2 linked regions of the Tribolium castaneum genome follow. The protein of the gene in region 1 purifies or fractionates together with the protein of each later gene. This does not show direct contact. Links are inferred from orthologs where the notes say so. Each region holds a gene or a part of one and is shown in the gene's direction. Other genes may lie near its edges.

The links. The genes of interacting proteins can lie anywhere in the genome.
Region 2: the proteins of SCAR (region 1) and HSPC300 purify together in Drosophila melanogaster (affinity purification with western blotting; 4 studies listed by BioGRID, with this or other methods). This does not show direct contact. The link is inferred for Tribolium castaneum from reciprocal best matches to the Drosophila melanogaster genes SCAR and HSPC300.

The regions. Positions count from the first base shown.
Region 1 is NC_087399.1:10,149,492-10,158,376, reverse strand, and holds the start of SCAR (actin-binding protein WASF3), read left to right. Parts: upstream 1-4,069; 5' UTR 4,070-4,229; intron 4,230-7,646; exon of another isoform or gene 7,647-7,786; intron 7,787-7,925; 5' UTR 7,926-7,941; coding exon 7,942-8,277; intron 8,278-8,885. Other genes in the region: uncharacterized protein LOC107398411, read right to left, coding at 2,385-3,041, 3,096-3,497.
Region 2 is NC_087396.1:20,956,455-20,963,562, reverse strand, and holds HSPC300 (probable protein BRICK1-B), read left to right. Parts: upstream 1-4,574; 5' UTR 4,575-4,590; coding exon 4,591-4,711; intron 4,712-4,756; coding exon 4,757-4,839; intron 4,840-4,888; coding exon 4,889-4,915; 3' UTR 4,916-4,916; downstream 4,917-7,108. Other genes in the region: superkiller complex protein 3, read right to left, coding at 732-1,834, 1,882-2,042, 2,194-2,370, 2,416-2,697, 2,743-3,321, 3,367-3,556, 3,603-3,835, 4,227-4,310; ATP synthase subunit s, mitochondrial, read left to right, coding at 4,917-5,483; Not11 (CCR4-NOT transcription complex subunit 11), read right to left, coding at 5,488-5,946, 5,993-6,202, 6,315-6,617, 6,677-6,802, 6,851-6,996, 7,040-7,108.

The DNA.
Region 1 (8,885 bases):
AGTAAACACCTGACAGTGAGCTACGTAATAAGTGGCAGTATATCACGTCATAATTAGATGTAAAATTTGGTAACGGAGTTAGGAAAACATATAAAAAATTTGCGTCCTGTCCAATATTAAAGATACAAAAAATGCAACAAATAAAGGTATACAAAATTAAATACACTTTTTGGAATGGAAAACTAATCTTTTCGCGAGTCAAGTCGAATGCGATACACTTTTAACTTTTACAAAAGTTGTAGCTTTTTATCTGCTAAAAAGAAATTATTTTGAAAAATTTTGACTAAGATATGTCGAAAATGGTACAGTTTTTGCAATTCTTGTGATAATGAGTAAATAAACTAAGTAAAAAAGGAAAAAACGATTCTACTTTTTTACTCGATGTTTACTCAGAAAAATAATTAATTCTAGGAATTTCCTTAAAATTTGAGAAGTTAGACGAAATTTTTGCTTTTATCGAATGTTTTTTAAACTAATTGCCCAGTTTCTGAGTCGAAAAATTACGAAATTTGGGCGAAAATTAAGTTTTTTTAATTGATAAAATACGAGTTGTTTTGTTTTTTTTTAATTTTGGTCACGTATTTGGGCTAAAAACATGTGTTTTTGAGAATTTTAGTATCTTTTTGATTAAAAAAAGCAATTATTTTGCAAAATTTTGGGAAAATTTGTCGAATGATTATTGATTACCAATATCGATCGAAAATTATAATTTTTGTAGTTTTTCAACGTTTCAACAATTTTTGAACAATGTTTTTTTCGTGCGTTTTAACAGATTTTTTTGAGTGAAATTAATTGTTGAGCGTTTTTGGTCAGTCAGTTTTTACTCAGAAATACGATTAATTCGAATAATTCGTCAAAAGTTTATTCGAATTAGGTAGAAACTGTAAAAGTGCTTGATGAAGTGATTGTCAAAAAAAATTCTAATAGACATACATTATTTAATAAGTGCTTTAAAAAGTGTAACGAACTAAGTTGTAGCGAATTAAATTTCCTGCAAAGTATTTGCGACGCAACACCATAACTATCTTCAACAGTTTAGGCTTAAATTAATTTTCCAATTTTTGAACAACTAAACCGACCTAATTCGTTTAATATAAGGCAAAAACATGCTTTCGCGGATTTTTTTAATGTTCTTAAATTTTCTTATTTCTTTAACCCTACTCGCAGTTTTTTGAAAATATGAGGCGATGTGCTTTTTTTAATGTAATTTTCGATATTTTTTGTATTACCATTACTCTTACAATGGTGAATTTAATGCTCTACCTGTCTGATTTTTTAGTTTGAGTTGTTCTCACTGTTTTATTTAATTCATTGTTCAACTCGCCATCTGGTGGCGCTAATAGATCATTAAGAACAGGAACATTTATTTGACTTTGAAAATGTTCCTTGTCATAAATGGATATTTTAGTGTCAACTTGACAGTAATCTGACACTAAATCTGCCAAATATGCCGATGTCCATACTTTTGTCTTTGACGGAATCCGTATCCTAGTTACTAAGTAGGAATAACGCTTTCAAAGGAATGTGGTGTCAACCCCTCTGTTTTTATCATGTCAATATAATTATTAATCAATAAGTTGATACTATGTATCTCTAGTAAAATTGTTGCAATTTTGTATTATAGTATAGTATATTGGAAATTTGATTCGTATAGTCATACAAGTCAAATTTGATACTAACCCAGTATCAATTCAAGTATTGATATCGTAACTTGACGAATACTCAATAGAGAACTTTCTTGTATCATTGAAAATGAATCTGGATTCGTTGTGAATTGTGATGCTTAAGAATAGTTTTGTTTTTCTAGAGGCAATTTGTTATTAAATTAACCGTACTATAGACTGTTGCGTCGATGTTGATGTATGCACGTTAAGTGTCTTTTTTTAAGTAAAGCTGCATATTGCATAGCGTTTTTTAAATACTAATCTAAAGCAAAAATACTCAAAAAAGTTTGCTACCCTGTATGTTACAGTTCAAAACACAACAGGGTTTGTTTTATCCGGAACAAGTAATTAATTAATGTTTTATAGTTTTATATTTTACTCAATGTTATTAACCATTTGCAATGTCTATTTATTTTTTTCTACAGCCGTCAAAAAATCGTGACATTTATGCATGGTTACCTATGCGCGAAGTTTGACGTTTTTTCACTGTGAAAAAATATTATTTTTTCACGGTTTCACAGTGAAAAAATAATATTTTTTAACTGTGCAGGCAACTCGATTTTTCAGATCATTTTGTTCCAACTTATTTCTGTTACAATTTTAGTAACACGAAAAGACATCAACAGCAACCGAAATGAAGAGACGGATCGATAATGAGAGGTAGTTTTAAAGGTTTTATAATTATACAGAACAATATTACAAAACAATAATAATAGATATTTACTTTGACATATGAAAATTAAATGTGCATGACGAAAACGTGCCCCCGTTTATCCCCAGAGGCCTGAGTGAAGACGCTTGTAAATGAAAGTTATTTTCGCCATTAAAAGAAGCCGATGTAGAAGGTTGAGTGATTTTGTTTTCTTCTGTGGAGGAAGAAGGTTGAATTTTATTGGCAATTTCAATTTTATTATTCAAAGAGTCCTCGATGTAACTTTCTGCCACTGTGCTGCTTCTCCAGCCCCCATGACGTTTAATTGAAATTAGATCACCTCCAGCATTCGCCAAAAGAGTGGCAGAGCTTCTTCTGAAGCAGTGACCAGTATATTTTTTAGGTTCGTCTTTGTTAAGCCACTTTGCAATCAAACTTGGTATCTCTCCGATTTTGTTAATTCCAACATTTTGATTCACACATTTTCCGTTGGTATACTTTAAAAATAAACGGTCACTAGTCGCCCGTGGAGGCCGCAAAGCTCTATATTTTCTGACAATTTCTATATTTTCTAAATTTGAAACAGTAAATATTCGTTCGCAGTGGGTTTTTGTATCAGGCACCTTCACAATTAAGACAGACTGTTTATCTTCTATGTCAGTTAGCTTCATTTTAACTAATTCTTCACGTCGAAGGGCTCCCGATATACCCAAAATTAGCACAGTCTATAAATAAAACGAGTTGTTTTGATTTGTATTACACTAATATGATAAGTTTACCTTCATCAGTAAATATATCTTGTCATCTGCTTCATTAATAAACTTGCTAATGTCTTCTTTGTCTAAAATTTGCGACTTCTTGCTTCTGTAACCTACGCTTTTGCTTTTCAGGTAGGGCACTAACTTCGGAAACTTACGTGTATCGATATTCTCTTTAACGTTTAAGGTGGCTTTCAACATCGCATAAAGGGCCCAGAGTGTTGGTGGCTTTAAGGTGGTAGACTTTTCTTCCAAATACGCCAACAAAACATTTTCCGTTACTTGATCAATCTTTTTCATAGAACACCACTGCCGAAACTGAAGATACGTTTTTTCGTACTGCGGTCTTGATTTAGCAGGCAAAAGATTCGACACTGCCGCGCTTGCAATTGCATCTATTTCGTTTTCGCTGCTAAAATCCATCACACTTCTTCAACAAAAATACCTATTGTGACAAATTTTTCGCAACTATCACTTTTATTTATCATCGTAACCATGCAAGCAACTCGATTTATCAGACCATTTTGTTCCAACTAATTTCTGTTACTTTTTTCTTCATCTGGAGGCTGTAGAAAAAACGTTGTTTGTATTTCGTGGCGAAATTCATGTTTTAATGGCGCCTTCGAATGTCTTTTAGGTCTCGACCTGGCGGTCTCGACTAAAATAACATTCTCAGGCGCCATTAAAAAAACACTCATTTCGCGCACTTAATACAAAAATTACTATTATTTTATAAATATAATAATTTAAGAAAAACAGTTTTTTATTACATAACGTTGCCAACACAAAAATCCCCAGTACGTTCCGCACGCCACTGGTAATTCCCCCAAATAAACATCAAGTGTCGAGCAATGACACCCTCATTCGCACAAAAATGTATTAAAATGAGGGTTTTCCCTCGCACGCCCCAATTTTATTTATTTTATCCCCAAAGTGGCCGCAATATTGATTGACGCGACGCCGCTGCTGTTGGTGATTTTCGCTCCGTGGGTGTGGCAGTCCTGCTCAATCGTGTTTGTTGGGTGTACCGCTTCGCCATTTTCTGCGATATTTATTAAATTATCGCCGTTTTTAACGAAACAATTAGTGTCGTGTGTGCAAAAACATGTGTGGCAACGTTTGCGCCCCCCAGTGAGTGTCCCAGACCATGCCGAGGTAAGAAATGGGCGGAAATCTCGACTCCTGCTAGTTGGCCTTTCCCCTTTCTATTTGACATTTTCTGCGAGAAATTGCCCCAAAATCTGGCCGTTTGCGGTGTCTGTTCGCGTAATTGCGACAAATGACTTGACCTTGCAGCTTGTGTTTGCTCATATTTGTTAAATGGGGCGTATGTGGCCCCCTAATGACTCACTTCCTTGTTGGAGACAGTATTGATGAGAGCGAAGCCAGTTTGGGGCACTTCCTGCCACGCTTTAGTTTATTAATTGGCGGTTAATAACCTTCACAGATGTCTTTCGCACGTCATGCACTAATTTATTTATTTCCATAAAGCGGTAACATATGGTGACGAAAACGGGAAACAGAGATTTAACCTTTTTTCTTCAAGAAATGTTGAAACGGTTTAGTTTTCACTTCTGTAGCGGTGCGTTTCAAAGTTCAATTGGTGAACGATTGCATTTTTTAAACGGAATTGATGTAATCACGTGTGATTCTGTTAAAATTTAAAGGGCACTTATTATTAGAAATGAGAAATCCAATAATTGGATTGGTTGTCGTCATAGTTACTGATTTTTTCGTCCTTCAACCCCTAAAATAACAATAACACAAAGGTCTACTACATTTGGGAAAGGTGAAGGAATACTTAAAATTAAATCACGCTAATCAGTTATGATAATTGTTTACTAAAGTGAGAATTGTTAAAAATCGATGTTTCTGTAATAAATGAATTGAAAACAAAAAAACGAGGTCAAAAACGCAATTTTTTCTAACTAATTTGCAAAAAATCATTCATTTTACATTTAATGGTTATTTTATTATAAATACTGTATTTTTATATCGGCATAACGACATATTATTGATGACCTTCGATGGAAATGTGATATTCTTCTAATTAAATTTTAAATAACTATTTTCTCAAAAATTAGGATATTATTCAGTTTAGAACTTAAGGGAGTGGCTTCCCTGATAAAAATTTACGTCGAAATTCTCTCAAAAATGTACTGCTTTATCTAGTGTAAATACTTAAAACAGGAATAATACTCCCAAGGTCTGAAGTGTTAATAGTATTTTGATGAATCATGGTTGTAATATTTTTCAGGTGTATTTAGGTGTTCCATATTCATATCTACTCTACACACATGTCTTGTCACACAAGTTTTTATCACATCTAGGGAACAACCAATTGATTCATATTCTTTATGAGCATTTAAATGATTTCAAAACACTGCCAAAAGTTTTGAATGTAATCAACAGAAGAAATTGAAAATCGATTTTTGCAAAATTATTTTTCATTAAATAATACCACACCCCTTTTTTTATTTATTTGTCCCAATAAGTATGATTAAAGGATTAAAGCCATACACAAAATTTTTGCAAAATCTAATCTATTAGAAAGCGTCTAAATGAAACTGTAGTCAGGGGAGCCCTGAAAATTTTATGAACATCTTCTAATCTTCTGTAACTTACGTTAAATATTGATTATAACCAAATTTTTTCTGAAAAAATTAACATTAACATTTTATTTTTTGACGATTTTTTTTACAAAAATAAAATAGACAACCAAATTATTGTGTAATAAAACGATTAAAAAAGCAAGAATAACACTAATTATGACATATTTGATGCGTTCCACAATAAAAAACATCCCAAAAAGCAAAAAAAGTAATTTTCAAGTTAAATTATTCATTTTTTGACCCATTTCATTAGAAAAGCTGAATTTAGAAACGTTTTAAAAGCAAAGCACCCATTACAATTTTTGACTTGATTTCCAAATGTCTGTGATTTCTATTGACAAGATCTCACAAAAAAGCTAAGTGTTTAGCTTAAAAACGATCTAACATGCTAAAAGAATATGCGAACACTGATTTCGATCTGCAAAAATAGTCATTTTAGATTTAAATTTGTATTGTTTAGACCCGCTTTAGCAAAATCTTTGAAAAAAAACTAAATTTAGAAACGTTTCAAAACAAATATAACGAAATTTTCGATTTGGTTTCATTATTTTTCTGGTTTCTAGCGCAAAATCATTACGTTTTTTAATATGATTCATCTAAATCTTGCTCTAAAAAGATCCAAAACGCTAAAAAAAACAAACATTACACTAATTTTGAACTGTATCAATGATTTTTTGGCTTTATTTTGGAAATTTTGCAAAATAAAGCATTTCTATGTGAAAAACGCCGTAAAAAAGTGAAAATGGAATCATTTTCAAGATAATTTTGTGTTTTTTGGCCGGTTTCAGCAAAACCTTGCAAAATAAACGTTTCCAAACGTTTTAAAAACTCAAAAAAACAAAAATAAGACGATTTTTTTCTTTTTTTTTAATTTCCATGATTTATATTGGAAAGATATGCCAATTTTGAGGTGTTTTAAAGGCTTTTGGCTTATTTTTGACAAAATTTCGTTAATAATTGTTTTTCAGAGTTATTTCGGATTAAGTAACTAATCTTTTGAAACAATATGAATTTTTTGCCAAAAAACAAAAATCTAAAGTTTTCGAAAAAAAGCAAAAGTAACAAACTTTGACTTATTTTAATAATTTTGCGGTGTATTTTTGACGAAATCACATTAAAAAATGCGTTTCTGATTGAAAATAGTACTACTATTATGGTTTTACAAAATGTTCATTGTGAAACCGAAAGTGGTTTCACAAAGAAAACTTTTATGCAATTACTTTTAGTAGATAGTTCTGTTGGATGTGCTGGACTGGGTGTCATCAGTCATAACTGTAATTTAGTGTGTAATCTGTCTAAAGCGTCAAGTCGTTTATTGATAAAGCCTGAATAATTAACAACATTAAGAGGAAATAGTTTGAACAGATTTTGATAAATTCAACAAAAAAAAAACAAACAACAAAAATAGAAAGTAGAAAAAATAGTATATTACACTCCTTCGTCGTGCTCCAAAACCATTCGTGTCACAATAGGACGTCTTATAAAACTCGTATATACTGTTACAGTTTGCCACAGTTAAGCGATAAAGTTGCGGTTGAATTTAAATATCGATTTTTTCTTAACATTGTAAGAAATTAATTAAGGTAGGGACCACGTGCCCATTTAAAAAAAAACAGTTTGAATTAAAATTAAAATTAAATTAAATTGGAAGCTAAACTTACATTGTATTCTTTTGTCACCTTTTTTTACCAAAATTACACACACACCTTTTATATTTTATATTAATGGTTTTCAATAAAAATATGCTTAACCAAGAAATGCGACGTTATTCTAACGTCATTTTTTTTCATTGTACTGAAATACAGGCCTTTACTAAATTTTAACATTAGTCTATATAGGGAAATGTAATTTGAACAGACAACCCAAGACCGAAATTGCTAAAAAGATATCTACAGGAAAAATTACTTACAGCAAAATGTAAACAAGAGATAAATGAAATGACATAGTTTAGTGATAACACCGATGATATAAATTTAAGTGAAAATATTGATTATTTTCAACTAAAAACTCTCATTAAAATGTAATTTTCTGTTCGCGAAATGGTAACATTGTTTCAAAATTTTTACAAAATGATTCGATTTTACGAATACGGTCAAAATCGTGAGTATCTCTTTCTATGTAACCTTTTCATTTGTGTAAATTGATCATTTTATCGCACTTGAAACATTCCAATTGAATCTTGACATTAGCATTCAGCACCTCACAAAACCCTTCCATCATGTTTATCTCTCGTTTCTAGTGAACACTAAACAACCATGCCTCTGCCAAAGAGGGTGATCGAACCGGTCCACGTGGCCAGAGGCACACTTCCAGAGGATTTTCCTCTAGTGTCCGAATTGGAAGCCGTCACCAACGGAACTTTAGCGAATACCGTACGACAACTTTCCTCACTCTCAAAACATGCCGAAGATTTATTCGGAGAATTGGCCAGAGATGCCCAACAACTCTACGACAGATCGAATTCACTGCAAGCGAGAATCGACAGACTCGCTATCAAAGTCACACAATTGGACAGCACCGTCGAGGAGGTCTCTTTGCAGGATATCCACATGAGGAAGGCGTTCAAGAGCACGGTGGCTTTCGATCAACAAGTAAGTTTCATGGTGGACTATTAATTTTGTTCTTGGTCATGAATCCAAAATTGGACTCGTTTTATGAATTGGTTTACGAAGAAATGCTCTAAATTCAAGAAATTTCACCAATACCAAGTAGACAATTGTAAAATTTACTCCAAATGTGGGTTTACAAGTTAATAGATTTGCCAAGTCAAAGTAAAATAATTTATTTAACGGGAAATTATGTCAAGACATAGGAAATAATGAAAAAACTGGGCTTATATAGTGGCGGTCACCTCGATTTGCGTGTGCGTCATCAATCTCATTTTTTCATTACCAACACAAAGCTATAAAAAATTATCAAAAACAATGCAAATTTAAACAGCTAAGGGCTATCTAAGGGTGGTATCCTTGAACATTAATGTACATGTGCACTTCGACAACACCGTCAAGTGTCACGAATTTGTCAAACTGACATTGACAGTAAATTATAGACGTCGTCGTATGGTTGTCGAAAGTGTTATCGGTGTTAATCGCAAGTATTTTCCGTTCGTTTATTGTGTTTTGTGATTTGCGTTTCGTTAGGTTTTTGATTCTGTGTTTATTAGTTCTTGTTTTGTGAATCTGTATTTTTTGTAACAACT
Region 2 (7,108 bases), on another chromosome or scaffold:
GCGCCACTGACTTTTCACACTTGTCCAATTTGCCAAATAAAAAAATTATTAATTAACTAAATCGATAAAAATGAACCAAAAAATAAATAATCTGGCATATGCCACTAAAGCGTAACTTTTATTTTTAAATTTTGTGATACGCCACTGACTTTTCGGACATGCGCACAAGTAGAGCCAGGCGGCCTTGAGATTCTTAGTGCGGGATTTACCCTTATTAGGGTCAAGAAACTCAAAAAAACAGTCAAAAAACGTACACAATTTTGTATTTCCTTCAGAACAACGTAATTACGCACAAAAATTGATTTTTTCTTGTTACTCATCCGCCATTAACCAAACTTTAGTACTTACATGAAAAACACCAAAATCGACGTTTTTCTCTAAACCAACCACTCCGCACTGAAACATTAAAAGTCCTTTCACACTTTTGGATAAATATTTGTCCGAAATAACCGATTTAACACCATTTTTGAGCTAAAAGTTGGACACAAAACGGCCACCATCACGTTTAACCAACCGCCAATTGTTTCATGAGGTACCAACCTGACTACCAATAAATTACTAGACGAATCGGCGCCCAAATCACATTTTTTCGTCACAAATTAATAAAAACTCTTTCACCCAATTCGTTTAATCTTTAAAAACCCTTATACTCGAGCTTGACCACACTTTGGCATAAATAAAAAAAATACGAGCACCCAAACCTCACTTTTTATTTTTTCATTTTTACTTACCCGTATACCAGGTGATTACATCACAAGCCACAGGGACCGCATGCATGTTGTGTATCGAATAGACGACGGTGTCCACCGGCGACTCCTTCAACGTTTTGCACACCCAATGTGCGTACCCCAAAGCCCCCTGTTTGTGGACCCTTAACTGGGTGCTGTGCCTAAACAAATCCATAGCGTCTTCGTGTGCCAAAGTCTCGGCTAAAAGTGCCTGTCCTATCCAACTGTTAACGTAGTTAGGGTCCGATCTTTGAGCTTGCGAAAACGCCTGATTTGCCAGCTTAAAATCACCGAGGAGAAAATACAAAGTGCCTAAATTCGTCCACGAGACGGCACTGTGACTATCAGCGATAACGGCTTTAATGAAACAATGTTGCGCGAATTTATAATTTGGAGGGTTTAGATGCATCGCTACATTGCCTAATAAATTCCAGTGTGGCCAATACGTCGGATTATTAGCCGTGCAATGTTGCAAAATAGTTTGAGCTTTAGTAATTAACTCGCTTGAACCGCTACTAAGCCCGTGCGATAAATAACAAACGGCCAAATCGTGCCAAATCAAAAAATTATCCTCAACTAGACCCAAACTTTTGAAAAAACAGCGCGCAGCCAACGCGAATAAATCACTTTTCTCTAGAACCGTATCACCCACAACGTCCCTCCCTTCAACGAACTTTTTCGCAATCAAAAGACACGAATGTTTTTCAGGTAAATTGGCCACGAACAAACACCCGTTCCCTAACAATTTCCACAAACACGAGAGGTCGCCACGTTGGCTCAGAGCCCGAATCAAGTGATCGGTGGCCACCTGAGCATGGTCCCGACTCGTCCCCAGTCTCTGATCCTTGTAACAATGCCTCGCTTGAAGCAGACAAGTCTCAGCCATGCCTTTCAAAGCCGGGACGTAAAACTTGTTAAATTTTAAAATTTCCTCAAACTCGAGCCGCGCTTCGGCAAATTCGCCCAAAATCTGCTTAATGTGCCCTTTTTGTAACATCGGATACCACGCTTCCGACACCAAACTCGACGTTTTCTCGTAACATTTCAAAGCGGAAGTGTAGGCACCTTTGGCCAAGTAGGCGTCAGCCAGGGATTCCCAGCAGTGACTAAAATTGAATTTTTCGAGTTTGTTAACACAAGTGTGGAAAAATACGCATTGTTTTCGTCAATTCGTATGACGAATCGCAAGTTCGTAACGGCTTTATCGTAATCTAATTGTTCCAAGTGGTGTAGCCCTAGCTGCATCCAAGCCCAGGAATTTTTAGCGTTAATTATTCCACTTGTGAGGGCTTGTAACAAGTTCAAGTTGGCGTCCTTAAAAAAATGAAATCTATGTAAGTAAGAATGTTTAATAGGGCGTTGCTACGGTAACGATTACTCCAATTGTTCAAATTTATGTTGTTACCTAGCAGCTAAGTGTCAAAGATAACGCTTTAGCTCTAGCGTCGTCTCATTTGTTACATACCCAATTTTTTAACTTGCGGTAGATTTTGCTTAGTTCGATCCCGGCCTCCGCACATCGCTTATTAATTTTGAAAGCTTTCTCGTAACATCGTCTAGCTTTATCAAAGTCGTTGTTTCTCTTGTAGAAATGGCCCAAAAACAGGAAACACTTGTAGTTATTTGGGTCCAATTTGGTGGCCTGAAAATTACGATTATGTCCCGTTTATTAAACGTTGGGTGAAACCTTCAAAAATGGGATCAGACTTTTGTCAAAGTGGCCACAATCCCAATAAAGCGAACCGATTTCGAGCCACCATTCACAAGACTCGCAATTTTCCCTTTCTAGAATTTCCAGAGCTTCGGAAAATTTTTCCTGCTTGTGGAGCAACTGGGCTTTGAGCAAAATGTGTGTTTTATCAGTAGAATTGAATTCTTGGAGTAACGATTTAGCTTCGGTGAATTTTTTTAGATTGATGTTTGCACGAATCAAGTGTTGATTGCACGCAGATTTCACCTCAGTTTCAATCTAGAAATTGCAATTGAAAAAAAGTAGTACTAATAATAGACAAACATTTTCAAATAATTGTAACGCTTTGCGAAGGTCGGCCTCCTCCTCCGACCGGGACAAAACCTCAACCATCAAAACATTAACACTTTTCTTCAAAATCTTCTTATTTTGTAACAGTTTCTCGAGTTTGTTTGCCGCATTTATGGCTTCGTCGTACAACAGGAGTTGCATACAACATTTTAGCAAAAGTACCCACGCGTGTACCAACCCGGGTAAAACCCCCACAACTTGCTCTAAAACATCTTTCGCTTCGATAATTTTTTTCTGTTCAACTAGTAAAATGCTTTGGGTGAATAGACCCGTAGCTGAAGGTGCCTCCAATTTAGAGAGACTTTCGCTGTAATTGGCCATGTTTTCGACCGATTCGATCAAAGTGCCGGACTCGACGTAAACCTCATTGAAAATCTTACAAATCCAACGCAAAGAAATCCAGTCTGATTCAAACATTTCGTGCATTTTTTTCGCCTGTTGTAATAATTCACCCGCTTTGTCTTGCTTATACAACAGGTTTAAATAATCGCTGAAATATTTCGTACATACGGTTTTTTGGTTGTTTAAGGCGAGTTTTAACGTTTCTTCGTACTAAAAAATTGGTTTAATTTGCAAAATTACGATTTAAAATCATACAATTGGGACCAAATCCGGTGCGAGATTTTCAATTTTTGATAAAATATTAATCAAACAAACTGCACATTCCGCACTGTCACACTTGCCCTCTTTCAGGACTGAAAAAATCGCTGTTACGATTTTAGCCAAGTCGCCGAATTCGCACAAATTTGCCAGTTTTTGGACACATTCGAGGATTTTTTTCTCGCCTCTGAAAAGGCTAATTATCTCATGCCAAATAATTTAAAATCAATTACGTTTCAATGCCAATTAGCGAAATGTAAGCATTAATTAAATCAAGTTTAGTTTCTTTAGTGTCGATTTTTTCGTAATAATTTATAAGACCGTTCCAAGCCAAGGGATTTGAAGGGTTTGCTTCGATTGCCTCCTGGAAAGCTTTCAAAGCTTTGGCGTTTTGACCGGTTTCCTGTAATGAGACTCCCAGGAAGACAAGGGCCATGTAATTGTTCTTTTCTTCTTTCAGTATTTGCTGCAAAAATACAATCGCACACACTAACAAACATAATTAAAGATAACGCTTATGCAACTAATTGCTACAAAGGTGCAGTCCAAAGAAAAAAAAGAAAAAAACAATGAATCAAACAATGATTGGATTCATCAGAAAATAGTGAACACATAAAAGTATTTTAAATTGCCAATGCTTTTATTAATTTTATTAAGTTAATTTCTACAAAAAAAAAACGGATAACTCCGACTATTTAGCAACAAAATTTCGAAATGATCGCAAATGATTATTTCAATTGGTAACAGATTTCAAAGTTTTTTTAGAAATTTGTAACCGGATAATTTTTAATTTTTAGTGTAAATTATGACAGTTTTACCAACCCCTACACCTTATAAATAATAAAAATTTCACCTACCTTGCATAGTTTCAAGGCAGTTTCATAATTCTTGTTTTTGATGGCATCTCGTGCCTCCTTCAACACTAATTTTGAGTCTTTCATGATTCACTCAAAACAATAACTTGTTTGGAAAAGCCTAACCTACAAATGCACTTTTTGCCACTTATTAGCTAGACTCGAAAATAACCAAAAGCGTACAAAACGAATCATTTGCACTTAGTATTTAATTAAAAAAAATATTTGTTTAATTAAATTACGAAAATAGCGAGCTTGTTTGAAACTTTTTCGAGGTTAGAGCATAGAATAAGAGAGAGGGTTAGAGTGTCAAGCAAAAACTGAAACTCCCTAAAAAGTAACCAACAATTTCGGTATTTTTGCGGAAATGGCTGCTCCTAGAGGAGAGACAGTCCCCAAGCCCATCCAACAAGACTGGGTAAACCGCGAATACATCGAAGTGATAACCGTCAGCATAAAAAAGATCACCGATTTCCTCAATTCTTTCGGTAAGTTTCCCCTTACTGTTGACACCTCGCAAAAATTATTTTTAGACTTATCTTGTCGATCAAAACTCGCCGTTTTAAACGAAAAGTTGACAACTCTCGAGCGAAAGATCGACTATTTGGAAGCTTGTGTAAGTCTCATTTACATAACACTGCGCTTTATTTACAAATAAACTGAAGGTCACCAAAGGGGAAACCTTGACATAAGATGCTCCTCACTCGCCTCAGCCACCTCCAAAGGCCGCTCATCCCCCACACGCGCACCCTCTTCCACTGGCTGAACATCGTCTTCAACCGCGTGGACGACGAACGACGGAAACAAGTGGGGCCTGACAGGTCTTGTGCCGAGTGGCTGTTGCGGAACGGGGCCCACGTCAAGTGGGAGCACTGCAACGAGTTTCTCACAGACTATAACAAACTGCCGAGCGACAGGATTAGGTTACACATCGTGGAAGTGAACGCGTCTGAAGCCAGCATAATGCACTACGGGTTTGACCATTTCGTGGGGTGCGAACACATCCGGAAAATCATTTTCCACAAGTGCTACTATCTGGAGAATGAGGCGTTGAAAGGGCTGTCGGTTTTAAAAAACTCATTACTTTATTTACAAATCACCGAGTGTTTGAATATAACAGAGCCGGGGCTGAGTCACCTCAACGCGTTGAATAACTTAAAAGAGCTGATTCTGGCCGATCTGCCGTACGTCAAAGAGAGGGAAAAAATCGTCGATAAATTACAGCACGGCCTGCCACATTGTACGATACAGTTCCATTAAATAATCAACCCTCGAGCTTTGCTTTCATTATCGTTGGCGAGGAGACAAGTCCGATCTGTTCCCCCGACTCCAACTGTTTCAATAGCCTGAACAAAGCGGCAGCTTCGCGAATGCGACTAAACTCGATACAAAACGCCTGAACTTCGATAAACAACTCCTGGACGTTGATTATTTTGTTGCGAATGAGCGACTGGAGAAACACACAAACCAGTCGAACCAGCCGATTTTGCATATAACGGTCCTTGATAGTCTCACAAGTCGATATGCAATTCGAAATGTACAAGTGGACAAACTCTGTGGGCAAATCCACGGTCGTTGTGAGCCGATTTACCACTTCCATGGAATGCAGCGACATTTCCATGTTGACAAGAACGCTGAAATATTCCGTTATTTGTTTCGATTGCATAAGCTTGAGCAAAACTTCAATCGCGATAAGTGGATTATTTTCCACCAGTTCGGGCAACTGCAAGCACTCAAATCAGCGAAAATCACCAAATTTCGATTCATACTTTGGACGGAGTCAAACCAATGTGGTACACAAGTTTTGAGTCGTTTTCCAGCTCGCCTAGCAGTTGTTGCTGCTGTTGCAAAGACAGCGCTGATTTGTACGCCTTGTTCATCAATTGTCTCGCCTCCTGGCCTGCTGTGTCAGGCACACACATCGTCACGTCATATGCTACAGTGTGTTCTTTGATGTTTGTCGGATTTAGCCACACCATCTTAAAAAACACAATCAAGGGTAGTAATAAATTATCACAGCTTCCTTGATTAATGGAAATTTCCCTTCGTCTCCATAGCATTAAACAAAGAAGCTGTATTATGTAACCTTACTTCATCATCTGTGTTGAGCAAAGGCGGTGCTAGTGTCACAAATTCCGGTTTGTACACTTTATTAATGGGGGCGTTATCACCGGTTGCTATAGTTTTCACAAGGGCTGCATAATCGTTCCGTTCTGTCGTATAATTGTTAGTTTTTTCAGGCAGTGATAAAACTACAGGAATTCCTGTTTTGCAAGTGTGTGGCAATTCAGACTGTTTTTCGGCTAGTAGTAATTGTACAACGGAAAAATCGAAATTTGTTTGCGTATTCCCAACGTCTGAATTGATTATTTGCGTGGCTGTTTTTTTCAAAATCTTGAAGAAAAAAAATCGTTTAGTAATTTCCTATCAGGGGAGGCCCTGGATAATCTTACAGCATCTTTGGGCACATCTGATAACAGTTGCGTTAAGAATTGTTTTTCTGGTGGTGTCAGTTTGGGTAGTTGGCCTGGATATTCCTGTTTGGGGGACCCGACACTACTCTGGTGTTCCGGGGGGTGCTAGGATAATTTCTATGTTACAATTACTAAATTTCTGTGATTACAAACCAAAAGGTGGTTGAAAACGTTGGCAAAAGGGGTGTTTGCCAGAGCTTCGCCCCGATATAACTCATACAGAAGCGTTATAGCAACAAGTTTTTGCTCAGGCTCTTTCAACAGATCTTGCTGAAGCATCATTACCAGACAAGTTCCGACTGAAAAAAACAGTTATTTGGGTAATCAAATAGCGGTTTTTACCTTTAAAATAGTCACAAGAGTCGAATTTTTTGTGCAACTCGTTCGAAAGGCTTTCTAAAGTGTGGGTTC